Linked DNA regions of Macaca mulatta. Each later gene encodes a partner of the first gene's protein in a complex. Links are inferred from orthologs where the notes say so. Each region holds a gene or a part of one and is shown in the gene's direction. Other genes may lie near its edges. The genes, in order: WDR20, USP46 and USP12.

Region 1 (10,302 bases):
TATTTAGAAATACCAGGTTTGGGCTGGGCGCGGTAGCTCATGCCTGTAATCCCAGCACTTTGGGAGGCCAAGGCAGGTGGATCACGAGGTCAGGAGTTCAAGACTAGCCTGACCAGCATGGTGAAACCCCATCTCTGCTAAAAATACAAAAAAAATAGCCCGGCGTGGTGGCACACGCCTGTAGTCCCAGCTCTTCAGGAGGCTGAGACTCGCTTGAACCCAGGAGGTAGAGGTTGTGGTGAGCCGAGATCATGCCACTGCACTCCAGCCTGGGCAAGAGTGAGACTCTGTCTCAAAAAAAAAAAAAAAAAAAAAAAAAAAAAAAGGCTGGGCACGGTGGCTCAAGCCTGTAATCCCAGCACTTTGGGAGGCCGAGACGGGCGGATCACAAGGTCAGGAGATCGAGACCATCCTGGCTAACACGGTGAAACCTCGTCTCTACTAAAAAAAATACAAAAATCTAGCCGGGCGAGGTGGTGGGCACCTGTAGTCCCAGCTACTCGGGAGGCTGAGGCAGGAGAATGGCGTGAACCTGGGAGGCGGAGCTTGCAGTGAGCTGAGATCCGGCCACTGCACTCCAGCCTGGGTGACAGAGCGAGAGTCCGTCTCAAAAAAAAAAAAAAAGAAATACCTGGTTTAGGCCGGGTGCAGTGGCTCACGCCTGTAATCCCAGCCCTTTGAGAGGCCGAGGCGGGTGGATCACCTGAGGTCAGGAGTTCGAGACCAGCCTGGCCAACATGGTGAAACGCCGTCTGTACTAAAAAATACAAAAATTAGCCGGGCTTGGTGGCGGGTGCCTTAATCCCAGCTACTCGGGAGGCAGAGGCATAAGAATCGTTTGAATCCAGGAGGCAGAGGTTGCAGTGAGTTGAGATCGAGCCATTGCACTCAAGCCTGGGGGACAAGAGCAAGACTTCTCTCAAAAAAAAAAAAAAAAAAAAGGCCGGGCGCGGTGGCTCAAGCCTGTAATCCCAGCACTTTGGGAGGCCGAGGCGGGCGGATCACAAGGTCAGGAGATCGAGACCACAGTGAAACCCCGTCTCTACTAAAAATACAAAAAATTAGCCGGGCGCGGTGGCGGGCGCCTGTAGTCCCAGCTACTCAGGAGGCTGAGGCAGGAGAATGGCGGGAACCCAGGAGGCGGAGCTTGCAGTGAGCCGAGATCGCGCCACTGCACTCTAGCCTGGGCAACAGCGTGAGACTCCGTCTCAAAAAAAAAAAAAAAAAAAAAAACAAAGAAAGAAGAAGAAAAAAGAAATATCCAGTTTGAGGCTGGGTGCGGTGCCTTACACCTGTAATCCTAGCACTTTGGGAAGCTGAGGTGGGTGGATCACCTGAGGTCAGGAGTTTGAGACCAGCCTGGCCAACATGGTGAAACCCTGTTTCTACTAAAAACACAAAAATTAGCTGGGTGTGGTGGCATGCGCCTGTAATCCCAGCTACTTGGGAGGCTGGGGCAGGAGAATCGCTTGAACCTGGGAGGTGGAGAGGTGAGCTGAGACTGTGCCACTGCACTGAAGCCTGGGCAACAGAGTGAGACTCTACCACAAAAAAAATAAAAATAAAAATAAAATTGTCTCGCTTTTGGCCGGGCACGGTGGCTCAAGCCTGTAATCCCAGCACTTTGGGAGGCCGAGACGGGCGGATCACGAGGTCAGGAGATCGAGACCATCCTGGCTAACACGGTGAAAGCCCGTCTCTACTAAAAAATACAAAAAACTAGCCGGGCGAGGTGGCGGGCGCCTGTAGTCCCAGCTACTCGGGAGGCTGAGGCAGAATGGCGTAAACCCAGGAGGCGGAGCTTGCAGTGAGCCGAGATCGCGCCACTGCACTCCAGCCTGGGTGACAGAGCCAGACTCCGTCTCAAAAAAAATAAATAAATAAAATAAAAATAAAAATAAATTCTCGGTTTGAAATTGAAAATCAGAAATAAAATTAGGTCAGGCCCGTTTATTTATTATCTACTTATTTATTTATTTCCCGAGATGGAGTCTCGTTCTGTCGCCCAGGCTGGAGTGCAGTGGTGAGATCTCGGCTCATTGCAACCTCCACCTCCTGGGTTCAAGCAATTCTCTTGCCTCAGCCTCCCGAGCAGCTGGGATTACAGACATGTGTCACCACGCCTGGCTAATTTTTGTATTTTTAGTAGAGATGGGGTTTCATCATGTTGGCCAGGCGATCTCATACTCCTGACCTCGTGATCTGCCCGCCTCGGCCTCCCAAAGTGCTGGGATTACAGGCATGAGCCAACATGCCTGGCCATTCAGGCCTAGTTATTTAGTTTTGGGTGTTACTTATTGAATCTTTGAATATGGGGGAAGAAAGCTACGAGAGAAAAAGAATAAAAACAGAGATTATTCAAAGGCTATGCCTGGGGTCGGGTACAGTGGCTCATGCCTGTAATCCCAGCACTTTGGGAGGCCAAGGAGGGCAGATCACAAGGTCAAGAGGTCAAGACTATCTTGGCCAACATGGTAAAACCTCATCTCTACCAAAAATACAAAAATTAGTTGGGCATGGTGGTGCACATCTGTAGTCTGAGCTACTCGGGAGGCTGAAGCAGGAGGATCACTTGAACCTGGGAGGCAGAGGTTGCAGTGAGCTGAGATCACATCACTGCACTCCAGCCTGGTAACAGAGCAAGGCTCCGTCCAAAAAAAAAGAAAAAAAAACCAAAGGCTATGCATGAGACAAAGTGAATAGTCTATTACTGTGATTGTAATAAAATGTTGAATTTATATATGGTAAATCTTGATAGAATGCTTAGATTACATAGGTATTATGGGAAATAGAATGTTGTGGTTAATTAAGGAATAATACAAAATTTTGTTTTAACTTTTGCTTACTGGGTTTTTTTCCCCCATATATATACACACACATATATATATATATATATATACACACACACACACACACATATATATATACACACACACACATATATATATATACACACACACACACACATATATATATATATATATATATATATATATATTTTGAGACAGAGTCTGGCTCTGTTGCCCAGGTTGGCGTGCAGTGGCGCGATCTCGGCTCACTGCAAGCTCCGCCTCCCGGGTTCACGCCATTCTCCTGCCTCTGCCTCCCAAGTAGCTGGGACTACAGGCCCCTGCCACCATGCCCGGCTAATTTTTTTGTGTTTTTAGTAGACACGGGGTTTCACCATGTTAGCCAGGATGGTCTTGATCTCCTGACCTCAGCCTCCCAAAGTGCTGGGATTACAGGTGTGAGCCACTGCGCCTGGCCTTTTCCCCCCAAAATATTATTACACTTTTTTCCTCTTGATAATTAGGAAATACAGATAAATTATTTTTAGAAGATTCAAGATGTCACTATCCTTCAGGTTGATTATTGTAAAATATGTGTTTTCAATGTAAAATAGCACAGTTATGGAGTTTGGGATCTAGCCATGGGAACCACAGAACATACCTTGGTGTACTAAGATTTCTGATCTCGATTTGACTTTTAGGGAAAGTCGGATAACATCGAAACAATTCTAAGAAAAAATTTTAAGCATTTCTAAGGCTCTATTAATTAAGTAGGACTTCAGTGCTTTTTTTTCTTTTTTTTCCAACACAATGCAAATGTATTATTACATCACTGGCACAGTTTCTATTGGTATCTATTTGCTTTATAATACAGAAGATGTTTATGATTTAGATTCCTCCTACTTTAGAAATTCCCTCCATTCACTTCTTTTGTGTCCCTCAAGATATAATCTGAACTTTCAGGAATAGTTGATTCTTGGTGTTACAGATGTTGGCTTCCCTCCTCCCTGGAATTCTATTAGAATGTTTCTGTCACTTTAGAAACTTTCCTATTCTGGTGCAACATGCCAAGAAACCCAGGTATAAAATAGTGATTGTTTAATCTTACTTTGACACGTGTGCCCGTTCTTACAAATCTAGACCCTGTACATTACATGCATACAACTATCCCTATGGATCTCCTAGTAAATAATCTCACTGACTCCACCTGAGGCTTCTGGAAAAAAAAAACCAATTACCTTAAATTTTATTAAGAGCTCTTCGTAAACTACTGAGCAAGAGAAGTGAATCCTGCATAGATTCAGTCCCCGGTTCCCAGAGCGCTTCCCCGCCGCGTGTCTCTGAACAGTTGGAAAGGACAAACCTCCGCTAAGAAGCGGAGGCCGCCAGTGCTCACCACACATAGGAATTAGGATATTCATGCTGTACCACATTCTTCTCTACCCCTACCCGGCCTGAAATAAAACATAGTGAAGCGTAAATCTTGAGTACTTCGGTACCTTCTCAGAAACGGCGGCGAGGAGGCTTCCAAGGGGCTTGCTTCCTGACCGGGGATCAAGACGGTCGCGCGGGTAGTCAGCACTCTCTCTGGGCGGGACAGTCCCCGTCCCGAAGGGAGGGCCCAGGAGGGGTGGAGCCGTCCCCGCCCGAACACAGGGGCATCCGCGCTCCCTGTAGGGTACCCCGCGTGCTGGCCCCGAAGCGGTGGCAGTCGGGGTGGCGCTCTTCCTCCGCTCTTTGGGGTCCCGGCGCCCCTCAGGGCAGGGGGGGAGACCGCTGAGGAAGCACCCTCAAGTTCACCTCAGGCTCCTGACACCAGCCCCGCCGCGGTTCCCCATGATCGGCTTTCCGTTGGTCCTAGTGGCTGCGGAACCGTCAACTAGACCCCACCGGCTGGAACCAACATCACCTGGGAAGCAGCCGGGCCGCCCGGAGGCCACGCCCGGGGGAGGAGCCTGCGGACGCCCAGCCGGGTGGAGCACGCCAGGTGAGCACGCCTGCGCAGTCGGGCCGTAAACAAGCCCGCCCCTTCCCTTCGGCCCGCCTTCGCGGGGCTGGCCCGCGGGTGGGAGGGGCGACAAGGAAAAGGCAAGGGGTGGGGGAAGAGGGAGCACCGGGAACAGCGCCTGCGCGGTGGGCGTGATCCGGGCACTTAGGGCAGGATGAACGCTGCTTTCCAAGATGGCGACGGAGGGAGGAGGGAAGGAGATGAACGAGATTAAGACCCAATTCACCACCCGGGAAGGTCTGTACAAGCTGCTGCCACACTCGGAGTACAGCCGGCCCAACCGGGTGCCCTTCAACTCGCAGGGATCCAACCCTGTCCGCGTCTCCTTCGTAAACCTCAACGACCAGTCTGGCAACGGCGACCGCCTCTGCTTCAATGTGGGCCGGGAGCTCTACTTCTATATCTACAAGGGGGTCCGCAAGGTACCGACCCGGGCGTCACCGGGGTCAGCCAGCGGCGTAGGCAGAGGCGGGAGCAGGGCGGTGACAGTGGGGCCAGGGTGACCGAGGGGGTGGCCGTCGCTCTTACTTTTGAGTGGGCCGGTAACTCCCTCCACTGGGGTACTCCTGAGGAGAGGGGATTCAGGAGTAAGGAGGGTGGTGGCGGTGGCATTTCGAAGGGGTGGGGGCTGTGGAAAGGAACCGTGGGACGCGGGGTTCTGGCTGGGAGGCTCCCAGGGGAGCCGGCTGCGTCCCCTCCAGCCTGGTCCATCAGGCTCTGACATGGCCAGGGAGCGGGCCTGCGAGTCCCCGGAAGAGATGGGGTGGCCGTCTTGTCTGCTTCGATTGCCTCGCCTCCCTGGAGGGTTGGAAGTCTCGCCCTGGGTTAGAGAACAGGGGCGCAAGACGGCTTAACAAGATCTCTGTAAGGCGGAACTGGGGCCGGGAAGCCGGAGACTGAGACTAGGTCAGAAAGAACCTGCTCGGCACGCAGGGCTACTCCACCTGCTGCCGCACTGACACTTCCTAGGAGCCTCTCCTGGTGTTAACATTTCTATTTCCAAAAACATCCGCGGGAGGTCGGCTGTCAGTGTCCGCCGAGGGGACGTTCTGAAAGACTGTTAAGGAGAGTCATCTTGTCCCTTGTAGTATGCGAAGGGCTGAGTACTACAGTTGAAATGATGTTTGCAATGAACTAAGCTGGTTCAGAGGGGTTGTGTGTGAGAGTGCCCAGATTAGTCTTGTCCAACAAGTCAGACTGTGTCCCAAACGGGGAGGGATAATGCCTTAAAGGCTACTTTAAAGGGACCATCCTTCTTGGCGGGCGAGTTACCAGTAATGCTCTGAAGCATATAAGCATCCTTTAAAAGTATCTCTTTAAAAGCAGCCATTTATTAGAGCTTTTCTTTCATTGGCTATGTAACTGTGTTTTCACTGAGAATTGCTTAGTTTTGAGATTGTAGTCTTTGACTTGATGTTATGGAAGAGTGAGGAAATAAATGCATCCCACAGCACCTCCAAATAGGACAAGGTGATAAAAGATTAATTCGCAAATGCATGTTAGCATGAAAATAAATTGTTCATATTGAAGAGTGAACATTCCCTAGGATTTCATATAGCCAGATCCAGTGCAGGATTTTCGCTTGTTACAAGAGCTAGGGAAATGACAGTGGTATCTAAATGTAGCAAAGTTGTTTCTTTCATTCACGGTGAATCTTTTTTATTAGTGTTTATGATAATAAGTGTACCACTGTATTTAGAGTATACTATTAGAAGTTATTGAGGGTAAATCGCTTGACCTTTTTTTTTTTTTTTTTTTTTTTTTCTCCCTCTTTTGGAATTGCAAACGCTTGAAGTAGTCTTCAGTCTAGGGGCTGAAGTTTTACTCCTACTCCCAACTTTGTCACTGACTTGTTGGGTGACCTTGGATAAGTTATTTAACTTCTATTTGCACCTCTTTAAAAAGGGAATGTTACAGTGCACGTTGTAACTAATAATATAATAATCGTAATGAATTTTAAGGCTCTGAAACACTCAGTAGATGTAAAATATAGTTAAAGAAATACTAAGTAACTGTCAAATAAGAAGCTGCCGTCTTGACGTTGATGTTCAGAGTGAAAGGATTGATTTTGTTTCTGGAAATTAAGTTTAGAATTTTAAGTTTTAAAAATTTATATAAAAATACAATGTGCTTAAAAACTAAATTCACTAACTAGCAATTATTAATGCAGGAATTACTTTAAAATTTTTTTTTCTTTGAAGGTTATTACTTCTGAAGCATCCTAATGGCAAACCTTATCTGGATCTGGTAGCCCTGGTTTACATCATAAAGACAAGTTTCTTGCCTGAAAGGATCCTTACAATAGTGTTCTCTTTTAGTGGGACGCTATTCTCTGAAGGGTAAAAGGAGGCAAGGCTTTTAAAACTACACCAAAAAATTATTTTAAACAAGATAAATCTGAAATACGTAAATTGCCCTTACCTGCATAATTTGAGTGTTTTAACGTTTTTTTGGGTCAAATTTCATTTTCATGTGGTAGTATCATAGATACATTTGCATTATGTTGCAGATGTTTCTGCTCTCTTTTAATTGTAACTTAAAATTTTTTTTCCATTAATGAGTTTGCATTTATTGTTACTTCTGAGTGTAAGTGATTTTTTGTGGCTATTTTCTGATTTAAAATATAGGAAATAAATTTTCCTTAATTGGAAAACCAAGATTTACTCTTTAGAGTTAGTAGTTATAAACCTATTTTTGACCGATGGCCATTAAACATGTTTTTATTTTTGTTTTTAGAGACAGGATCTCATTCTGTTGCCTAGGCTGGAGTGCGGTGGCATGCTTATAGTTCACTACAGCCTCAAACTCCTGGGCTCAGATGATCTTCTCACTTCAGCCTTCCTAGTGGCTGGAACTACAGGTGTGCACCACCATGCCTGGCTAATTAAAAACAAAAAAATGTTTTTTAGAGATGGAGGTCTTGCCGTGTTGCCCAGGCTGGTCTTGAACTCCTGGCCTCAAGCGATCCTCCCACCTCAGCCTGCTAAAGTGCTGAGGTTATAGATGTGACCCACCACACCCAGAGCACAGTTGGCTGTTTTTTTTTTTTTTTTTTTTTTTTTTTTTGAGACGGAGTCTCGCTCTGTCGCCCAGGCTGGAGTGCAGTGGCCGGATCTCAGCTCATTGCAAGCTCCGCCTCCCGGGTTTACGCCATTCTCCTGCTTCAGCCTCCCGAGTAGCTGGGACTACAGGCGCCCGCCACCTCGCCCGGCTAGTTTTTTGTATTTTTTAGTAGAGATGGGGTTTCACTGGGTTAGCCAGGATGGTCTCGATCTCCTGACCTCGTTATCCGCCCGTCTCGGCCTCCCAAAGTGCTGGGATTACAGGCTTGAGCCACCGCGCCCGGCCTACAATAATTATTTGGATTATTCAGAAGATCTAATTTAGATGTATAAATTCAACTTAAGTCTGCGTGTAAAATGAGTAGAAAATAGGTGTTTTAAAGAACTTAAATCATGAATTACGTGCTACCTTTCCTGAGAAAAAACATGGGGTCCTGGGGAAATGGAGTAGGTGAGGAAGTAGTCTAACATTCATGCTAAGGAGTTGCAATCTTGAGCCTTTTAAAAGGTTTACAGGTGTCTGGAGTTAGAAGGAACTTTAGAGTTTGTTATTTCACCCTCGTCAGAGAACCGAGGCCAGAGAGGGGATGCAAACCTGTTAGAATTTTTTCTCATAGTAAGGAAAATGAAGCACAGCTGAGTCTAAACTATCTTAGAAGAGACTGATCCGGCTTTTTGATCACAGGGATATCATATATTCCAAGAACTTATAGAATCTACCTCGGCATTTTGCCATGTATTATTTTATTAAATTCTTGAGGTAGATTAAAACATCTTTTCACAATTGAGGAAGTTTAAAATGGGGTTTCTTATGTGAGGAGATGTAGTTTGGCAAATTTATTTAACTAAAGACAGTATTAACGTTGATTTAATACTGACACTAATCATTTCACCAGATTTGAGTGACTACTGTGATAGTAACGATACTAGGCAAGGTGATGTGAGGTATTCAGAGCTAAATAAGACCCTGTCCCTCTCCCCAAAAGACTTTCAATTACTAGCTTTCAGACATCTTTATTACATACTTTGTTCTTCTTTTTTTAAAAAAGAAGTTGTGGTCTGGTGCAGTGGCTCACGCCTGTAATCCCAGCACTTTGGGAGGCTGAGGTGGGAGGATCGCTTGAGCCCAGAAGTTTGAGACCAGCCTGGATAACATATCAATACCCTGTGTCTACAAAAAAAAAAAAAAAAAAAAAAAAAAAAAAAAAAATTAGCTGGGCATGGTGGTATGTGCCTGTAGTCACAGCTACTTGGGAAGCTGAGGAGGGCTCTTGAGCCCAAGAGTTAAGGTTACAGTGAGCTATAATTGTGCCACTGCACCCCAACCTGGGCAACAGAATGAGACCCTGTTTTTAAAACAACAAAAAGGGGGAGCGGGGCTGCGCGCCGTGGCTCACGCCTGTAATCTCAGCACTTTGGGAGGCCGAGGCGGGTAGGTCACCTGAGATCAGGAGTTTGAGACCAGCCTGGCCAACATGGTAAAACCCCGTCTTTACTAAAAATACAAAATTAGCTGGGCGTGGTGGTGCTCACCTATAGTCCCAGCTACTCGGGAGGCCAAGGCGGGAAAATCGCTTGAACCTGGGAGGTGGAGGTTGCAGTGAGCCGAGATCATACCGCTGTACTCCAGCCTGGGCGACAGAGCTAGACTCTGTCTCAAAAAAAAAAAAAAAAAAAGGTTGTTTTTAGGATATAGGATAAAAGATGCCAAAGGTAAGGTAGCTGGGCTTATTGGACCAATCCTCTCTTCTCATTTTATGGATCTCTGTTTTTACATAAATACGAATGGCCTCCATTCAGATCTCAGCTTAACCATCACTTCCTCAGGAAATTTTGCTTTGAATCCCCATGGTGTAACAGTTTTCCTCTATTACATGGTTTTTTGTTTTGTTTTGTTTTTTGAGGCAGAGTCTTGCTCTGTTACCCAGGCTGGGGGCTCACTGCATCCTCTGCTGCCTGGGCCCAAGTGATTCTTATGCTTCAGCCTCTTGAGTAGCTGGGATTACAGGCATGCGCCACTGTGCCTGGCTCATTTTTGTATTTTAATAGAGACAGGGTTTTGCCATGTTGGCCAGGCTGGTCTGGAACTCCTGGCCTCAAGTGATTCACCCGCCTCAGCCTCCCAAAGTACTGTGATTACAGGCCCTATTATGTGTATGTGTTCTTAGAGCATCCTGTACTTTGCCTTCCTAGCACTTTTCTGAATTTGTAATTCTGTGTGATGAGGCAATTGTGCCTTCTGTAAACAAAGCTCCCTTAGAATAGTGACCTTATCTTTCCTTCTCTCCATCTTCTCAATGCCCAGTGCAGTGTCCAGTTTAGAGTTAGGCCCTTACTGTGTATTTGTTGAGTAGATGACTGAGTAAAGCCATGTCTATGCCAAACTTGAAAGAGATCTTTAGAAGCTGAAAAACCTATTCAATTTTGGGCCCGAAAGTAACTT
Region 2 (9,837 bases), on another chromosome or scaffold:
AGAAATAAGACGGCAATGTGATAGGGGCTGGATAGGCTTGGACAAAGTGGCCAGAGAAGTTTTCTCCAAAGAGGGGATGTTTAGGCTGAGTGCTGAACAACCATGTTAGCCAGCCATGGAAGCTTCTGGGAGGAAGCTCTCAGTGCTGAGAAAATAGCACCTGCAAACACCCTAAGGTAAGAGGAGGATATCCCAGGGCCAGTGTGACTGAAGCAGAGAGGAGGCAGGGTGGATAAGTGCAGTGGAAACTGCTGGAGGGTTTCAGCAGGGGAATCATGTAATACTTTTTATTGAAGCTGCACTGATCGTTTCATGTTGTCAGTGGTTCATTTGCACGCATCTCTGTTGAAGTGTGAACCGTATGAGGGCAGTTATTCTCTGTGGATCCCCAGAATCTAGCCCAGAGGACTGGCAGGAAACATTTGGGGACTTAATGAATGAAAGAATCCGTGTTTTCTTTTGATGTGTTCTGTGTAAGTGGTAGAATCACCTAACACATTTTAAATAACATTTTATGTTTAATAAAATCTGGTCATTGTGGTGCTAGGACACTCTGTGAACAAGGAAATGTCCCAGAATTTTTCAAAACTGTAGGGTGTTAGTCCAGATGTTCTTTTCAGCCCTTGAAGCAGTACCACAGAAATGTTAAGTAGAATCTCGATGGCTGGAAAAGAATGAAAAACCATGACATTTAAAAAATAAAAACCATAAGTAGCAGAGTAGAACCTCAAGATAAGGCAGATACACATATGACAAACACAGTGGCTTTTGTTCTCCAAAGGGGGCAGGCAAAAGTTCATATCCTCTGGCAGGGGAGCAGTGGGGAGCAATGGTTGGTAGGAGGTGGTCATTTGATTAATTCAGGATTTCTTTAGTTCAGTAAGAGGGCAGTTTTGTATATGGTTTAAATTTCATTATCTTTACTTTCGTGCTCTTTGAAAATATGGACTACCAGAGAAATACTGTTTTTCATTAACTACACAATAATGTCACCTTGCATATTACCTGATTTCCTTTTTCGACCTAAGTTTTAGTGTTTATGGTGAGCTTTTACTCAACAGCATTTTTCTATTATGATTTTAGTTTCTAGCTTATAGGTATTCACCATTAAATCATGAGGTTTTTTTCTGAATCCAGTTGGAAACCCTAATTTGTATCTGCCTTTATATATCCCATAAATAAAACTATATTTGAATCTCTCATGGTAAATTCATGATTTGATGTAAAGAACATGTCTACCATCATAATGGCACCCAGTCTTCTTTTTATTTATCCTGTAGTTTCTCTTCCATCCTAGTTTTAAGTAGGGTTTTTTTTTTTATTACTTCTCCCATTTTTATTTAAAAATTACCCTACAGGTTAATTGAGGGATTTAAAACATGATATACCAAGTAGATTTGGACATTTTTTAAAGATGAAAATATTTTCCTCTACAGAGACTTCAGCAACACAGAAACACTGTGTAGTGAACAAAAATATTATTGTGAAACATGCTGCAGCAAACAAGAAGCCCAGAAAAGGTAGGTAAAGATTTAGCTCAGGGTTATCTTTGTGTGGTGAGAAGGTTCCAGACTGTGGGGCCCAGTAGGGTTGGCTTTGAATCAATCTCAGCTTCCTGGGCTTGTAGCCGTGGAACCTTGGGGAAGTCAATTACCCTCCTCACCAGTGAAACTGGGATAAGAACGCTGACCTTGGAGAGGACAACTTGGAGAGTTGTCTGTCCGATTGTTTACTTATTTGTTTATTCATTCAGTCATTCAGCAAATATTTGTTGAGCCCTGCCATGTGCCAGATACTATGCTAGATAAACAAGTAATGATTAAATGTAATCACTATTCTCTTGAGATTAAAGGTAAATTATATAAATACTTAGCAGAGTATATAACACATAGTAGACACCCAATATTATTTTTGTTTGTATTGCTTAAACATTGGGACCTCTTATTTAGAGACAGAAGTTTAAAAAATATATATCATTTCATAAGGACGCATGAGGAAATTATTAACACATCAGTTATAAGCATAGGTGATTAGAGGCTGGGCGCAGTGGCTCACACCCATAATCCCAGCATTTTGGGAGGCCGAGGAAGGCCAATCATTTGAGGTCAGGAGTTTGAGACCAGCCTGGTCAACATGGCGAAACCCCGTCTCTACTAAAAATACAAAAATTAGGTGGGTGTGGTGATGGGCGCCTATCGTCCTAGCTACTCGGGAGGCTGAGGCAGGAGAATCACTTGAACCCAGGAGGCAGAGGTTGCAGTGAGCTGAGATCGCACCACTGCACTGCAGCCTGAGTGACAGAGTGAGACTCCGTATCAAAAAAAAAAAAAAAAAAAGAAAAAGAACAGGTGATAAGAAAGTAAGTTATTGCACCATCTTTTCTGCACACCAGACAGTTACAGCTCTTGGAAAATCTGGAATAACCAGTTGTTCCCCATTAATCTGCTCCTACAAGCCAGGAAAGTTGCCATTTCAGTCATCCTGCAAAGGCTTCCGTGAGTTAAATCTATCGTCAGTGGTCTGGAGTATTCAAGGCAGCTGGCAGATGCTCAGTACTGCTGTCTAAAACCCTCAGGGGTTTAGACCTGAGGTTGAGATCATTTCTCTGCCCAGCCTTCCCAGGCGTTCACTCCAAACATGTACACTTTTCTTTGCTGCAAAACTTACAGATGGTTAGTCACTGTAGCAGGCAGGCCTCAAGGAGGTAGGTAGATATCTTTTGTTAGTAAAGAAGGTCACTCACGTCTGCCCCCCATCCTTATAACCGCAGTCTGCCTAAGACTGGCCTTGGGTCTTCCTTTGTGGCATTAAGATGTTTTTCGTTCAGCCCTGGGGAGTTTATACATTACAATGTCATGTGTTCCTGTAAAATATGGGGTTCCCCATAATTCTTATTTCTCTAGTGTTGTTTTACTTGCTTATTTGTATGAACAGGGCTTTTCCTTAATAGATTCCTTAAAACTATTCTTTTAAAATTTGTCCTTTTCACATACTATGCATTAAAAATGTATGCAAACTAAACGGCATTTACACTTAATTCAGTACATTCATGGAATGGGGGCCTGGAAGATAACTGGAAGACCCGTTATTCTAGCAGTATACTCTGCATAAACTGTTATCTTTGTGACTTTTTACTGAGGAATGATCAGTTACTAGGTGACTTTTTACTTTTTTTTTGTGACTTTTTACTGAGGAATGATCAGTTACTAGGTGAACGATCACCTAGTAAAAAACCTTTCTATGTTTATATAAGTTTGGGAAGTCCAACATCAAACAACAGAACAATTCCTTTACTGCAGGATTTCTCAAAATCTTCAGTGTGGTAATGTACACTTAGGATCTTCAAAGCAGAAAGTAGCATCGTCCAAACTTAGCCACAGAAACATCACATCTGTTAACATCTCCAGTGCTCTCATGCACCCAGTTTGCAAAATGTAGCCCTAAACCAACCCCTGCATTTTATAAATGAGGAAACTGAGAGCTAGAGAAGGGAAGTGACTTGCCCAAGATCACAAGGGTCGGAATGAGAGTGAGCCTGGCACGCTTGGTGTCCCAGTGCCCAAGAGTGTGTGTCAGAAGCATCCATCTCCTGCCAGTCCTCGGAACCTGTAAGTCCAGCAGTCGGCACCGTCTACCTTGTCCTCCTCCCATCTTCCTGTTCTCAAAAGCTCTCAACCCACCTCTCCATCATCTGAGGGGGTAGACTGTCCAAGTATCATTTCTCTCTGGAAGGCACAGGGCAGTGGTGGAGAACAATTGCACAACCTATTTTTATTTGTACAAAAATTCTGAAACATCTCCTTTCAACAAATAGACACACACCGTTGTACATTTCTCCTGCTGGGATGCTTCTGGGAGCCAGGAATGTAGGTTAAATCAGCTCTATATAAGCCAACATACTTTTATCCTTGCAAACTGTTTGGTTGTTTGCTGGTTTGAAGTTGGATAGAACTTCCTCGTATTCTGTTTGGGCAGGTGACAGTGTATTCTCTTCCCCTAACAGGTGTTGGGTACAACTGATTTTCTATTTCATGGTTTCTTAGGATGAGGGTAAAAAAGCTGCCCATGATCTTGGCCCTGCACCTAAAGCGGTTCAAGTACATGGAGCAGCTGCACAGATACACCAAGCTGTCTTACCGTGTGGTCTTCCCTCTGGAACTCCGGCTCTTCAACACCTCTAGTGATGCGGTGAACTTGGACCGCATGTATGACCTGGTTGCTGTGGTCGTTCACTGTGGCAGGTAAGGGCAAGACTGGAAGCAGACATACAGGGTAAGTGTAAGGGTTGCCCCTTCGCTGAAGTATATCCAGCTGCACCTTTCCTGGGCCGTGGCACTCAGTACTTTTGGGATATCTTCCAAACTCTTACTGATCATCACAAAAAATATGTAAACATGCCTGCAGACACATAAAATAAAGAGCATTCCAATAATGAAAATCTAAGTGTTCTATCATGAGAGAAATCACTTAATAAATCTCCTTTGCATGGAAATGATGGTTATGAGGAATTTGAAATAACATGGAGAAATGTCTATGCTATTATTTTAATTTTTAAAAAGCCAAGTTGCATTTATAGTATGATCTCAAAAGTATTTTAAGATGTGTAAATAAAGACTGGAAGCAGTGGATCAAGTTTAGTATTTTTTTGGCACTTTGAGTGATTAAAAATATATTCTCAAAAATATTCTTTGTTATTTTTATTCTTTCCCCAACATTCTGTAATAAGTATATAATCAGAAAAAAAGATAAGAGAGAGAAGGCCTCTAGATATGGAAAGGCAAAGCATTTTGCCGAAATCCTTTGAGCAGATTTTTTTTTTTTTTTTTTTTTTTTTTGAGACAGAGTCTCGCTCTGTCCCCCAGGCTGGAGTGCAGTGGCACGATCTCGGCTCACTGCAAGCTCCGTCTCCTGGGTTCAGGCCATTCTCCTGCCTCAGCCTCCCGAGTAGCTGGGACTACAGGCGCCTGCCACCGCGCTGGCTAATTTTTTGTATTTTTAGTAGAGACGGGGTTTCACCGTGGTCTCGATCTCCTGACCTTGTGATCCGCCCGCCTCGGCCTCCCAAAGTGTGAGCAGATATTTTTTATTCCATAATTTGGTATAAGGGAAGAAAAATATATTGAAAATTTACCTGTTTGTTATTCTTTGCTCAGCTGGGACAGGTGTATGTTCTGTCTTGGGAGTAGGCACAGCTTTCCCCCGCCCTCGTAGGTTTTAGATTGGGGCGTGTCACAGAGTAAGAGTCTTTCTCCGCCATCTGCTAAAATCGGATTATGGTGAACACACCATTACCAGGAGACTACCATTGCCATGCACAGGAATAGACTGATACATTTTTAATTGTGTACTAGGGTAGATGGCATCAGAAACTGTAACTTTACATGTGAAGCACCCCATATTTTATCCTGCACGTATTAACTTTAAGTCACTGGATGTTTTCTTGTATTCTCAGTAAAATGGTATTTATTTGCTAGTTATATGCCAGTTTTGTGGTGTTCTCCCTGAAGAAGAGCTGTTATTCTTTTGAAGAACACAGTGTTTCAGTGACCTGGAACCTAGCCTTGAGCACTGGGTGAGGCCTCACATTGGTGCAGGGTTCAGGAAGGTCTTAAGGCAGGCAGAGCCTGGGACCTGGTGGGCATTGTGGCTAAAGTGGGTGGCAGGGGTGGTGTGAACAGGAGGGCCCCTTGCACAGGGTACACAGGACTTTCAGTGTGGGTCTCTGTGGGTGCCCAATTCAAATCCTTGGGAGGACTGGCAGAGACCCAGGTGAGGGAACTGGACGTCCAGCGGGAGGCTGGGTTCTCTAAGGTCAGTTTCTGTACTGTGAGCACAAGGTCAGAAGAGCCCTGGTAGCAGAAATCAGTTGGTGCCAAGTCATGCATGCCACTAACTAGGATTCTTCAAACTCCTCCCCACAGAAGTAGCATTGTTCTCCTGTGTGGAGCAGGGTTGGCCTATGCATGTGGATTGGGTGGCTTCCAGGTAGCACTGGAAAGCTTTGAGGTTAGGGAGCTGGGCCTGCCTTCCCTTCCATGCCAGGAAGGCAGGCCCACAGTTGCAACAGGTGCATAGCCTCATGCATTGATTTCTGCTGCAAGTTTTTTTTTAAGCTCATATTTTCTGGGTTCCATGCCAGGATCTGAAGATAGAGTAACGAAAAGACACACAGCACAGGGGCCCTGCCCTCACAAAATTTATAATCTATCTGGAAAGACTGATAATGAACAAGTAAACACACTGCCCTGCTACCTCCAAAAACAAACCATTGCAAGATAATTTGATTTTGATCAGTGCTATCAGGAATAAACAGGGAGATGAGTGAGTGATGGGAAATACCTCTTCAGGTGAGGTGGTCAGCAGAGATTTATCTGGGGAGGTGACATTTGAGCTGAGGGCTAAAAAGAATGCAGTTGGGGGAGGATTATCTCTGGCAGAGTTTACAGCAATGCAAAGGCCCGTAATGTGAAGGGGGTGGCGTGTGAGAGGAGCCCGATGGGCTGGAGCTCAGAGGGAAAGGGAGACAGTAGCTGGAGGAGGCTGGAGAAAGGGCAGGAACAGATCATTGGCATCATCTTGTGTTGAAAGAGGGTAAACAAAGGGGAAAGTTTGGCTTTTTCAACTTTAACAGTGCGTTAAAAAACAGTTTTAGGTTTAGGATTAAAATCTCCTCACTCGTGCAAATCTAACCTAACTACATAGTGACAGCTGCTTAGTTGTCCTTTCTGCTTTTTTCCGTATAGCATAGTATATGGCTTTTTAACACTTGTTACTATGCTTATTGGTTTGTTAATGTCTTTCTAAAACACAGATCATGCAACTCCTCAAAATTCCCATTTCTTCCTGGCTTGCTCGAAGCAAAGCCTAAAATCTTACTTGCGATTCCTACACCTGCCCCTCAGCCCCCTCCGGTCTTCCCCTCCTCGCTCACTCTGCTGCTCTGGCCTCCTTTGGCCTCTCTGCTGTTCCTGAAGACACCAAGTGCTACTCACTCACCCCAGGTGTTTGCACTTGCTATTCCCTATTTCTGAAACTTCCATCCCAGAGTCACATGGCTTCTCCCCATGCCCTGACCCCAACCCCACCCCTACCCCTACCCCTGCCATTTCCTTCAGGGAAATTTCCTTCTGCTCACATTATCAAAGTGGCCTCCCTTCACTTTCCATCAAACATTACCTCCTCCCATCACTCATATCCCATTACCCTGCTTCATCCTTCTCCGTGACACTTCTCACCGCTTGACATACATTTATAACTTTAGTTTGTATATTGCCAATCTGGCCCCTACCCCAAGTCCTAAGTAAGTGAGGTCTTTGTTTTGTTCACTGCTTCTTCCCCTGACAGATAGAATAGGGCCTGGCACAGAATAGGTAGAGAGTAATTTTTTGTTAATATTTACTGAATTTGAGTGTCTGTTTTTGCTGCTGGATTATGAGTCCTCAGAAGACATCTCTTCTGTCCACTTTTGTATTCCCGTGTCCAGCTTAGTGTTGTGAACATAGACATCAGCTGTATTCCAAGTTCTTTATGCTGATGACATAGTTTGTTTCCCAGAGAATCACTGCGTATAAAGAGCTAAGTAGAGTTTTATAAAGAGATAAATGTTAACTTGCTGACTTTCTTTTAATTGTTCTTTTCCAGTGGTCCTAATCGTGGGCATTATATCACTATCGTGAAAAGTCACGGCTTCTGGCTTTTATTTGATGATGACATTGTAGAGGTTGGTTTGCAGATTATTCTCCAGTAGTCATAGAGCATCAATAGTATTTCAGGGAACGTATACGTATAGATGTTTTCTAAAATAGGCCTCTTTCCCCATAATGTAATTTGAAAACAACTTAAATTTCTATTCAAAACCAAATTCTGCGAATCCCCATGCTCCATGGAAAGGGAGAAGGGGTGTGATCACGGACTTACCGACAAGTGTTCTCTACGGTTCAGCCATAGACACGGGGTCTCTCTATCTGTGCCACCGTAAATCATACTTAAGTATAAGTCTTGTTTCTATCATGACTAAAGCCCCCTCTGATACAGGGCAAACAATAGACTTCAAAGTTCTATTAAAATTATTTTATTATAACAAATTTTTCTTGTATCGATTATTGTTTATTTTTTTCAGTCTGTTGGATCTGGAAATCTTTATATTACACCAATACATTCTATGTATTGACTTTGTTATAAAAGAATACTAGCTGGAATGAATTCTACACTCAAAGACATGATCTATTTTAACCCACTAGGGTAGCAGTTTTAGTGGAATAACACTAAAAGTGGAATAACACTAAACTCTGGTGGCCGGAAAGACTTAAGGCTATTTCCAGGACCCATCAGTTTACCATCTGGGAGATGTCTTGTCTTGTTCTTCAATGAGTGCCCACACAGGGTTGCTAATGCATGAAGGCGTTGCCTACTTTCCCAGAGATGTACAATTTCTGTGATGATGTCCTTCAGCCAAGTCTGTGGAATTCTCCATTTGCTATTGAAAGTTCCTAATCATGATTTCATAACAAATTGTCCTCCTTGCATTTTAATATATATTCCATTAGTTTTTATCTCCTTTCCCCAGGAATCATATTATATAATTGTATTGTTTTCTTTCTCCTTTATTGCAGAAAATAGATGCTCAAGCTATTGAAGAATTCTATGGCCTGACATCAGATATATCAAAAAATTCAGAATCTGGATATATTTTATTCTATCAGTCAAGAGAGTAACTTAAAGAACTGTGGAACTGAGTCAAGTGGGGGAAAATGTTCAAAGCACTATTACCTGGTTTCTCTGCAGTCTTTCTTCTTCCCCAGTGGCCCACTAATGGTATCACTCTGAGTCTCAATGGTCTGGCCGAGTTAGACTCTCTCCTTTTGTGTTTTTACATGCAGCACTACTCTTGGTTTTATTTCAGTCTGACGTAGAGTTAACTGCAATCAGATTGTAGTCTGATTTGTATGAATAACAGTTGCTAATTTTAGGACTGGGTGAAAGCTATGCCATTCATTATGTCTGGCTGTATTAGAATGACATTTCCTATGAATGTCTATGGTCTATTTTAGGTGTTTGCTAAACTTCTGTGGCTTCCAGGATCTTCTTACAGTGCATTCCTTTAACTTGTCCCTGGAAGCATTGCTACCCATTTTCAGCTTCTCTGCCTCTTTTCTGATAAAAGGACAGAAGAATTGGGTAGATATTCACCTTTTAGGGGTGCAACTGTAGCTTTAAGTTTGTGCAAGTGAAAATGTTGAAAAGTGAGTAACCTCAATACTAAAATCATCCTTCACATGAAACAGGGTGAAGAGAAGCTGTCCGCGGTGGCTGGTGTTGGCTGGCATTGGCACTAGGCTGTGCTGACCTAGCCATTAGAATTCCAGGGGCTAAGAAGGCTCAGGGCAGGCAAAGCCAAGAGGGGGAAGTTTTTGTGGACAATGAAAAGTTATTTTCGTACATTTCTACCAAAACCCAAGTTTCAGGAAAATAACTCTATGTTGTTTATTTTCAGTGACACTTTTGTGAGGCCCTGTGAATTGTATTTATCCTGTATCCGACACTGCTAAGCTTTTCAAGGTATCTTTCCAATCCTGCTGATGTGTCACAGTCAGTGACTGCAGGGCTGGCAAACCTCACCTTAGCTAGTCAGCACGGCATTGTTCCTTATCAGGAATAACAAAGGTACTGCATCTTTCCAGCCATCAGCACATTGTACAACTTAACTTTTTAATATAGTCCGTCTGTTTACTGAGGCACTGGCGAGTCCCAGGGCTGATACAGAACCTTCCCTAGAGGGAATACCAGAGTTAGCTGGGTATGAAGGTGGCTCAAAGGAAGTGTCCGTGGGCAGGGGGA
Region 3 (10,304 bases), on another chromosome or scaffold:
AAGTATTACCCTTCAAGCCCATGTCAGAACTGGGCTCCGATTCTTGATTTCCCATCCTTCTCTCCCTTCCACCTCCTCTCTTGCTGGATACGGTCTCTCCTGTGGCTCTACTTTTATATCATATTCTGCCTTGGATTATGTTTTTGGAGTAGCTATCTCTGTACTGAAGGGGTATTTGGGCAAGCAGTTGTTGAAATCTCTTTAATCTCCACAGCAGTCAGTAGTTACTTGCATACATTAGGCATTTATATCTGCTCAACTGAGTGTGTTTAATGTCCAGAAATCAGATGCCTAAGAAACAGCTTCCTTAGGTGGAAGTTCAGCCCTTCATCTCTCATTTCATTTTTAGTTTATGAAATTAACTTTTGTCTACTGTTCTTCAAACTAGTTCTTTGCCAAAGGAAAAAGCCGCCTAACTTTTCTCAATTTACTAGTTCTCACCCCACCCACCTCCTTTCCTTCCATCCTGTGTTCCTCAGCCTTTCTTTGATTTTTCTTGATTTCACCTTTTATAATTTTGTTTTCATTTCTGACCCTCTCCCCATAACACACAAGACCCTTTAGATGAGTCCTAAATAAATATAGAAATAGACTTAATAAAGCATTAAATGCTTTTTAAAAAGAAAGTTTTGAGGTGTCATCCTCCATAGTTTAAAAAAAATAATGTTTTTGTTGGTGTCATTCTGTCACCTAAGGTATTTATCTTACCTACAAGATCAAATGATCTGAGAAACATAAGACATTTTAGGAGGTGGCTTATTCTAATAATCTGGTCACTACTTTTAAAATAGTGTTTAGCGTAAGGAATAATTTGTATTGAAAAGGATTTCAAATTCTGTATTAATTATAGAATTACAAAGAATAAATATAACTATATAAGCCTTTATAATGAACCGTACTTAAACTGGAAGAGGTTAAAACCTTTGTCATATCCTTTTATAAAACAAAGAATTGCTTTTGAAAGAAATTATGCCTCCTTTATTTTTATGCATGTCTACATTTATATATTCCAGATTTGTTTAAAATGAGATGCAAGGGCAATCATAGTAATAGTTATAATGGTATTAAGAATTAGGTACTTCGTATTGACTCACCATTGAGCAAAGGTCATTTGCTTTTAAAGACATTTTGTGAAGTTCAGGCTTGATTTTGGAACCAAGGATTTGATATCCTTGCCTGTTTCAAGCATCATGTTGGATCTTTCCTCAAGAAAAAAAACTATTACCAAGGGAGTGAGGCTTAGAAATAATTCTTGTATGCATTGTTTTATAGTTGAATTCAGCATGTTCTGCTGTGATCCCCTCCCTTATAAAATGATAGAAAACCTTGTCTTTTATTATAGAAGCAAAATTGAAAACTATTACAAAGACAGGAAAGAATTTCAATAATGCAGCTTTATGTGAATAGAATCTCTTAGAGTACTAATTATTTGATTTTAAAATTGATTACCAGTTCAACTCAGTGTAGCTTTATCTTTTTTGGAAAGAATAGTTAAGGGGTATAAAAAAGAAGCAGTTCTTTTTTACTGCTATTTGTTTCAGTTTCTCTATAAAACATAAAATTTAGAGCATGAAAGAGTAATATTAATAAATATCATATTAAATTAACTTCTTTTTTGTTTGTTTTAGTGGTCCCAATCGAGGCCATTATATTGCAATAGTTAAGAGTCATGATTTTTGGTTGTTGTTTGATGACGACATTGTAGAAGTAAGTAGTTTCTTAATCTCTTATTTTTGAAAGTTTTATGCATATGTTGCTTTTCACTATTTTCTGATAGTTTCTCATTTAGATATGACTGGTGATGATTATGAGACAAATGTCTGGGTCTATGGATTGTAGTCTGATTCCTACTTCTTACTCTACAACGTCCAAGCCCAACAGTTGAGTGGTCACGTAACCTTTACACACGTGGAATAAAACAAAGGAAAGCTTTCAACAACAGACCTGACTTTAAAAAAAAAAAATTAAGCCATGTAACATACATACAGTAAAGTGTACAAGTCTGAATTTGATGAATTTGTATATGTGTGTCCCCCCGTCACACACAGCCACACAGACACACTCACATTTGTAACTACCATCCAGGTCAAGATATAATTCATTTTCAACACCACAGCAGGCCCCCTTGTTCCTCCTTCTGGTCAGAACTTAAGCTTCCTCCTGGAGCCTGCTATTTGGACTTTTATCATTAATTTTGCCTAGGCTTGAATATAAATGGACTCATACAGTATGATTTTGTTTGTGTCAGACTTTATTCACTGAATATATTTGTGAGGTGCATTCTTGTTGCCTGCAGTAATGGCAGTTCTTTTTTACTGCTTTGTCATTCTGTACTGTACAAATATACCAAGTTAGAAATTTGACCTTTTGTCAGTTAATGACTATTGTGAATTAAAATGCATTGGTCATCTTTTACAAGCCTTTTGCTAGACGTATACACTCATTTTTCTTGGGTATATGTTAGGTTGGACCACTAGAAGTTGCCTTTTTGTTTTTTTGGGAGACAGAGTCTTGTTATCTAGGCTTCTGGAGTGCGAGGGTGCGATCTCGGCTCACCGCCACCTCCAGCTCCTGGGTTCAAGTGAATCTCCTGCCTCAGCCTCCCGAGTAGCTGGGATTACAGGCATGCACCACCATGCCTGGCTAATTTTGTATTTTTGGTAGAGACGGGCTTTCTCCACGTTGGTCAGGCTGGTCTTGAACTTCTAACCCCAGGTGATCCGCCAGCCTTGGCCTCCCACAGTGCTGGCATTACAGGCGTGAATCACTGTGCCCGGCCTGGAAGTTGCCATTTTGTAGGTCCAAAATAGTTATTAGTGGTTTCATATAATTCATCCTATATCTAGAAGTAGAATTGCTGGATCAAAGGGTAGTTGTATGTTCAGCTTTAGAAGATAGGTATTTCTAAACATTTTTTCAGAGTGCCCTGCCAGCTATGTATGAGAGTTCCATTTTCCCCAAATACTTGGTATTATCAGTCTATTAAATTTAAGCCATCTGACTGTACAGAGCTCATTTATGTACTAATGTTTACATTTTGCCTCACAGAAAATAGATGCACAGGCTATTGAAGAATTCTACGGGTTGACATCAGATATCTCAAAGAACTCTGAGTCTGGTTACATCCTTTTCTATCAGTCTCGGGACTGAGGGGGAACCGTGATGAAGAGATACTTTCTGCCTCATTTCTCCTCTGGTTATTTTGGAAAGGATCAAGCACTGATTTTTCAAGAAAAGAGAAATGCAGGAAGCTCAGGGGGCAGTAGCACACTTTGCACACGATAAAGCAAAGACGATGGATTGACAAGCCCTTCCGATCATGGTAGTTGATTTATTTGCTCAGGTATCATGCTGTCTGTACAGTTCCATTCAACAAGGAGGTGAAATCAGAGATACCAGCTCCTCTTGTAAAACAGCCTTCCAGTCATTGACACGCATTTTCTCTTTATTAATTGCACCAATAATGCTTTGAATTCCTTGGGAGTGCAGTAGAAAGAATCGGGATCTGTGCTGTATTGATAAGGAGGTGATGTCGAACACACTGCATAAATTTGCCTGGTTCAATGTGTATAGAAGCATATTCGGTGTCTTTTCAAGAGTCAACCAGAAATACTTTTGGGCCCAACACTTGCAGTTGCCTTCCTGATGTAAAACCTAACATGCTAGATAATCCAGTGTCGGGAAGACAAAGATGTTTTGCTTCTCTGAAGAAGCTTATAATAATATACAGTGTATGTATATGTAGGGAGCAATTGGTCAAAAGTGGCTTTTTGTTTCCCCAAGGGGAAAGACTGGCTTTGTAATTATAATTTTTTCCTTATTTATTTTACTTAAAACTGGTAGAGTCTAAGTATTGTATGAAGTGCCCATGATTCTGTCAGTAAATTTGAACATATTTTTATCAGTTAATGTCAGTTTAAGTAGTCCTTTTGTTTGTTTCTATTTTTAAGGTGAATTTTAAATTCTATCTGAAATCAGTAAGATACCTTGAGAAAAACTGCAGTGAGAGGAGGTAAATATCCTTTTTCAGGAGGAACTGATATCTCTGGCTAAGTATTTGTCCTTTTGTTATGGTTTCTAAATCAGTTATTTTCTTCAGCTTTAATTTCATAAAATTAAAAAACTATAAAAAAATTCCTGTAGTTGTTGGAATAATTAAAAATTCTGGTGCAGTGGTGGTATACCAATCTTTAGAATTCTTAAGTATTCTAATGTTTCAAGTTGAGGTCATGCTTGGAATATCTTGTCATAGCATTTATGTTATTTTCAGATGTCATTTTTTTACCCTGGAAAGAAGTAATAATGTTCATCATAACCCTAGCAGCCTGGATAGTGAGCTAAACAAACCCTTTGAAGATTAAATTTTAATCAAGTAGACTAGGAATACAAAAAACAAGTCCTTCCTCCCCTTCCCCGCACCTTTACAATCTTACTGGAAGGGTGTTCAGAAATTAAAATTTGTGTTTGCTAAGACTTCATTCTGTTGGGGGTTTTAAGAAATAATATATGTAACATAAAATGTATGCAAACCGTCGCAGTTTTTTTGGACGGTTTTCCATGCATCAGAAAGTTGTCTGACAGTAGCCGAATGTAACTTGCAGAAAATTATTGAAAATTATATTCAGAATAATAGCAATCAGGCCTTGGATGTTCTTTATTAAATTCTTTTCAGGCAGTAAATTTAAAAAAAAAATTGTCATTTGCTAAAGTTCTTTTGCTAAAACTGATGACTATGGAAAACAAACAACAAAAAGGAATTTTTTAGTCTGCTGCTATTATTAACATTTATTATCTGTATCTTTTGGCTCAGGAAATGACTTCACCTATTTGTTCCATAAGCAGACCTTTAACAGGGTCACTTAGGTAATTGGGCTGCTTAAACACATGTGCTGGGAGAAAATTATAATAATAGTATTTGTACTAAATATCAAAAGTATTTTGACAAGTTTCTTTTTAAGATAGTTTCTAAAGCCTTACCCTGGCTAGAGATGTTTTGTACAAATTATATATAGCCAGCCTTATCTACCAACATGCCACAGAGAATCACAATCAACAATGTGGGGAAAGTCAGGGCAGTGAAAGTGGATGCGCTCTTTTTATTTTGAGGGCTTAAACCAAATTGTCTTGGAATTAAAGCTGTATTTCTGCAGCTTTCAGTACAGAGAAAAAGAGGTAAGTGAAGCTGTGTCAGTTTTAACATGAGCTATATCACAACATGTTTAAGAAAAGATAGATGAAGTCATTTGCATAAAGGTACAGCATTGAAATACTACGTTGTGTTTGTTTTTACATTTTTGCATTAAAGAAAAAACATGCAGTAAAAGCCAAGTTACATTTCATATTAAAGCAAGTTCTAGTATATGTGTTGAGTTCCTGGTAATCACATACTTATTCACATCTACATCATACTTCATAGTATGATTTGTCAGGGGAGGGACTGTGGGGTCACAGTTTTACATTTACTTTTTCTTCTTAATGCAGCTGGATCTAAGTAAAATGTTTTGAAGAAACTCAATATACTTTTAAAACATTTAGGGTCAGGGTTGGGGGAAAAATACAGGTATAGTAAGTAAGAAAAGTGACCCATGAAGAAAGCATTGTGAGGTTGTATGTTAGTTGACTGTGATTAAAATGCAGGGCTGGTTTAAGTTGTAAATGGTGGCCGATTGCTATGTAACTATGTACATGATTATTGGGATGGCTGTCCCATATTTTGTATATTGGAATAAAAATTTCTATAAATTATTGTAACTAAAAGTAAATATTCTAAATTAAATCCCACTTCTTAAGTCACATGGCTTCTGTCTTGGAAATTTTACCTTTAAAAGATTATTTAAGACAGGAACCAGGAGGCTTGGGAACAGGGAAAGAAGGAAATGTTGTATTATTTGGGTCTTGGGGCCTCTAACCATCAGTATAGGGTTTTTTCTTTCCTTGATGGCAGTAGAAAGACCTCATTTTCATAACTACTCTTGATACTTTCTTTAAAAACACTTTTTATTAAAGATTCTATCATGAGGTATTTGGGAGCTGGGAGGCTAAAGCGCTCATGTCCTGGCTCTTCAGTGAATTTAACTGTGTGACCTTGGGCAAGTCACTTAACCTCTCTGTGCTTCAGTCTCCCTGTCTTGTAAAATGGGAGTAATACCTACCTCACAGGGTTGTTGTGGGGATTAATTAGAGATAATGTCTGTAAAGCATTTAAGGTTCTTGAAGAAGGCGCTATATAAATATAAAATAATATCTATTAAAGTTGGTTTATTTGTGCCTGTGGGTTTTAAGTGTGTTTTTTCCTTTTTGCCTAAAATGTATTTACAGATTAGAAGTGGACACTTCGGAAATTGTGCTACTACTTTTGCCCAAGCTCCTACTTCTGTATCCAAAGAGATTTTCCCTAGGACAGAATTGCATGTGTGTAAAACAACGTTCTACATGTGCCTGCATTTATTTAGCACATAGTAGCTTGTATCATGTTTCTGTGATAGCATGTCTTTGCAAAGTTCAAAGTTTAAATTTGAAAATTGAGAGTCATAGAATCTTAGAGGATAAAACAGGTAAAATACCTTAAAGGTTACTGTTTCTCCTGCTCCTCCTCTTTTCCTGTGTGGTAATTGCTCCTGTAAAATCTGTTTCACAAGTGGTCAGTCAGCCTGCACTTGAGTGCTGGAAGCCGGTTCCGTTACTGAGTAACTTGAATTGTTACTTACGTTGCCATTATTTTCAGTCCATCCTTCATTCTCCCAGTGTGCCTCTGATCTCAAGGCTGATCTTTGTATCAGGTGGCTTTCCAAGACTTCATCCTTCCTGGGAGCCCTGTTCTGGAAGCACTGTTTTTCATTCATGTCTCTGAAAGAGTGTGCCTAGAACAAGCACAGTGACAGGTGAACTATACTGTCAGTTGGACCTGCGATCGCATTCTCTTTTCTAAGCATCTGTATCACACACTTCTTATGGAACTTTTAGTAAATGAAATCCTCTATACCTGAAAGTTTTTCATGAACTGTTGAAAAGCTGAGAGTCCCTTGCCACAAACTTTTTTTCATGATTCCCCGTTACCAGTACCTGTGCCTGTTAACATGTCAAAGTTTTCCCCATCTCTCTTCAGTCATGTGTTTTCTGTAATAACCGTGTCTCTGTTCTGTCTGCAGAGCTACTGAAATAACAACCCATTGCTTTTGGGTGATAGCCTGCTATGTGATGGCCCCTGTGCTCGGTATTTTACTTCTTTTAATGTTAATCTTAACCACATCTATGAGACAGTGACATCCTCATTTTACAAAAGAAGAATCTACGGTTCTTTAGAGGTTAAGTACCTTTTTAGAGCCACTCAGCTGGAAAGTAGCAGGTCCAGGTTTCAAGTAGGTGTAACTCCAGTGTCCAAGCCCTTAACCATGGCTATCCTTACCAAGAGATTTGTTGTTGTGGTGGTGGTAAAATAACCTAAAAATTACTATTTTAGTCATTTTTAAGCGTCCAGTTAAGTGACAGTACATTCGCGATGTGCAAATACCACTGCCATCCATTTCCAGAATTCTTTTCATTGTCCCAAACAGGAACTCTGTACCCATTAAATAGTCATTCCCCATACTTCTTCCCTTCCCGCGGCCTCTGTGAACCTGCATTCTGCTTCCTCCCCTCCCCACTTCCTCCCTTCCTCCCCTCCTTCCTTCCTCCCTTCCTGCCTTCTTCCCTCCCTTCCTCCCCAGGGTCCCATTCCCACCCAGGCTGGAGTGCAGTAGCACAATCACAGTGGCTCACTACAATCTCAAATTTCTAGGCTCAGGTGCACCTCCTGCCTCAGCCTCTCAAGTACCTGGGATTATAGGCATGTGCCACCACACCTAGCTAATTTTTAAATATTTTGTAGTGGTGGGGGTATCACGATGTTACGCAGGCTGCTCTCACCTCCTGGGCTCAAGTAGTCGTCCCACTTCAGCCTCCCAAAGTGCTGGGATTACAGGTGTGAGCCTCCTCACCTGGCCTAATTTTTTTTGTTGTTGTCTTTGCTTTTGGTATGTCTTAAGAAAGCATCACCAAATCCAATGTCATGAAACTTTTTCCCTGTGTTTTCTTCTAAGAGTATTATTTTAGCTCTTACATTTAGGTCTTTGATCCATTTTGAGTTAATTTTAGTATTTTAGTATGTGATGTAAGGGTCAATTTCATTCTTTTGCATGTTGGTACCCGCTGTTCCCAGCACCACTTACTGAAAAGACTCCTTTTCCCAATGAATGAGGTGCCAAAATCAGTTGGCCATGTATGCTAGGGTTTATTTCAGGACTCTCTTTTGTCCCATTTGTCTGTTTATCTGACCTTAGCCAGTACCACACTATTTTGATTAATGTAGCTTTGTAGTAAGTTCTGAAGTAAGGAAGTATGAGTCTTCCAACTTTGTTCTTTTTCACGATCATTTTCGCTACTTAAGGCCCCTCGAAGTTTCATGCGAATCTTAGTTTTTTCTGTTTATGCAAAAATTGTCAGTGGGATTTTCAAAGATTACATTTAATCTTTAGATTGCTTTGGGTAGTGTTTGACAATAGATTAAATTCTATGCCTATAATCCCAGGTACTTGATAGGAAGATTAAATTGACTTAACAATTTTAAGTCTAGTCTGTGAACACTGGTGTCTTTCCATTTATTTAGGTCTTTAAGTTCTTTGAACAATGTTTTGTTGTTTTTATTGTACAGGTCTGTTGAGTATTTTATTATTGATCTATTACAAATGGGATTATTTTCTTAATTTCCTCTTAGGATAGTTCATTGTATATAGAAATGCAACTGATACTTGCTTGTTGGTTTTGTGTCCTGCAACTTTGCTGAATAATTAGCTTTATTAGTTTTTTTTTGGTGTGGAATCTTTAAGGTTTTCTATGTATAAGATCATGCCATTTGCTAACAGATAATTCTTCTTTGTTTTCAAAAATTTTTTTTTAATTTTTTTTTTTTTTTTTTTTTTGAGGTGGAGTCTCACTCTGTTGCCCAGGCTGGAGTGCAGTGGCATGATCTCAGCTCGCTGCAACCTTCACCTCCCAGGTTCAAGCAATTCTGCCTCAGCCTCCCGAGTAACTGGGACTACAGACGCTTGCCACCACACCCGTCTAATTTGTGTATTTTTAGTAGAGATGGGGTTTCACCATGTTGGCCAGGCTGGTCTCAAACTCCTGACCTCAGGTGATCCACCTGCCTTAGCCTCCCAAAGTGCTGGGATTGCAGACGTGAGCCATCGCGCCTGGCCTGTTTTCAAATTTGGATGACTTTTATTGTTTTGCCTAATTGCTCTAGCTAGAACTTTCAATATTACATTGAATAGAAGTGGTGGAAGTAGGCATTCTTGTCTTGTACTTTTAGAGGAGAAGCTTTTAGTCTTTTACTATAGTACAGTACTATCTGTGGGTGTTTAATACATGGCCTTTATCATGTTTCTATTTCAGTTTGGGTGTGGCTTTTTTTAAATCAAGGGTATTGAATTTTGTCAAATTTTCTGTATCAATTGAAATGATCACGTGTTTTCTTACATTATGCTGTTTCTCATATGTGAAACTATCCTTGTATTCTAGGGATAAATCCATTTGGTTATTGTGCATAATACTTTTAGTATGCTCCTGAATTCAGCTTGCTAGTATTTTGTTGACAATTTTTTCATCAATATTGATCAGAGACTTTGGTCTGTAATTTTTATTTCTTGTAGTGTCTTCACCCGGCTTTGGTGTCTGGGTAATGCTGGTGTCATAGAATGAGTTAGGAAATGTTCCACCCTCTTCAAGGTTTTGAAAGAGTTTGAGACTATCAAAAGATTTTTACCAATAACCAGTACTTACATCCTTACTGTAAGTCATTCGTAAGAAACTTGAAGGCCTAGTTTTTGCCCCTGAGGAATTTGTCATCTGAGAATAAATCAAAGGAAAGCGAGGAAAATCAGCTCAACTCTGCAGGGTAGGTAGAGGAATGCAGGGCAGGAAAGCATTGGTGAAATCGCAGGGGTGCAGTCAGATGGCCAGGCCCAAAATGGGAATCTGGAAGTCAAAAACAGTCAAAGGGGACTGGAAATACTAGGTATAATAGGAATTTAAGAAGATTAACTTATGATACTGTTGGGTAATAGAATTTCTAAGACGGTATCAAATTAATTTTTCCCCTTTCCTTTCCCTAAGGAAAGGCCCTAAATTACTCTTGAGGAATTCTCACTCAGGCAGCCACTGTAGAGCACCGACTGCTGAGAAAAAGATTTTACTCTATTTTATATCATGTACATCTGTTATAACGCATCTAAATAACTAGATCCTTTAAAAATCACCTGTTCTGG

What was found.
Region 2: the proteins of WDR20 (region 1) and USP46 are in contact, whole or in part, in a crystal structure (PDB 6JLQ), measured with the Homo sapiens proteins. The link is inferred for Macaca mulatta from reciprocal best matches to the Homo sapiens genes WDR20 and USP46. Residues at the interface, in NP_653175.2 of Homo sapiens: Asn41, Ser42, Gly44, Arg151, Lys259, Tyr261, Phe262, Gly263, Glu282, Asp283, Asp284, Leu285, His301, Lys304, Ser305, Trp306, Gln374, Asp375, Thr376, Leu509, Arg516, Met517, His533, Glu534, Arg535; in NP_073743.2 of Homo sapiens: Asn205, Thr206, Ser207, Thr209, His210, Arg213, Arg273, Val275, Phe276, Pro277, Glu279, Leu280, Arg281, Phe283, Asp293, Met295, Gln338, Glu342, Tyr344, Thr347, Ser348.
Region 3: the proteins of WDR20 (region 1) and USP12 are in contact, whole or in part, in a crystal structure (PDB 5K1C), measured with the Homo sapiens proteins. The link is inferred for Macaca mulatta from reciprocal best matches to the Homo sapiens genes WDR20 and USP12. Residues at the interface, in NP_653175.2 of Homo sapiens: Asn41, Ser42, Gly44, Ser45, Arg151, Ser170, Lys259, Ser260, Tyr261, Phe262, Gly263, Glu282, Asp283, Asp284, Leu285, His301, Lys304, Ser305, Trp306, Gln374, Asp375, Thr376, Arg516, Met517, His533, Glu534, Arg535; in NP_872294.2 of Homo sapiens: Glu207, Asn209, Thr210, Ser211, Thr213, His214, Arg217, Arg277, Val279, Phe280, Pro281, Leu282, Glu283, Leu284, Arg285, Phe287, Asp297, Met299, Gln342, Glu345, Tyr348, Thr351, Ser352.

The regions. Positions count from the first base shown.
Region 1 is NC_133412.1:175,488,161-175,498,462, forward strand, and holds the start of WDR20 (WD repeat-containing protein 20), read left to right. Parts: upstream 1-4,934; 5' UTR 4,935-4,970; coding exon 4,971-5,219; coding exon of another isoform or gene 5,220-5,255; exon of another isoform or gene 5,256-6,535; intron 6,536-8,973; exon of another isoform or gene 8,974-9,108; intron 9,109-9,421; exon of another isoform or gene 9,422-9,538; intron 9,539-10,302. UniProt on the Homo sapiens protein: Regulator of deubiquitinating complexes. Activates deubiquitinating activity of complexes containing USP12. Anchors at the base of the ubiquitin-contacting loop of USP12 and remotely modulates the catalytic center of the enzyme.
Region 2 is NC_133410.1:80,906,600-80,916,436, forward strand, and holds part of USP46 (ubiquitin carboxyl-terminal hydrolase 46), read left to right. Parts: intron 1-1,436; coding exon 1,437-1,520; intron 1,521-4,043; coding exon 4,044-4,241; intron 4,242-5,474; exon of another isoform or gene 5,475-5,572; intron 5,573-7,641; coding exon 7,642-7,720; intron 7,721-8,612; coding exon 8,613-8,714; 3' UTR 8,715-9,837. UniProt on the Homo sapiens protein: Deubiquitinating enzyme that plays a role in behavior, possibly by regulating GABA action. May act by mediating the deubiquitination of GAD1/GAD67.
Region 3 is NC_133422.1:7,149,892-7,160,195, reverse strand, and holds the end of USP12 (ubiquitin carboxyl-terminal hydrolase 12), read left to right. Parts: intron 1-1,628; coding exon 1,629-1,707; intron 1,708-3,048; coding exon 3,049-3,150; 3' UTR 3,151-6,267; downstream 6,268-10,304. UniProt on the Homo sapiens protein: Deubiquitinating enzyme that plays various roles in the regulation of the immune response and inflammation.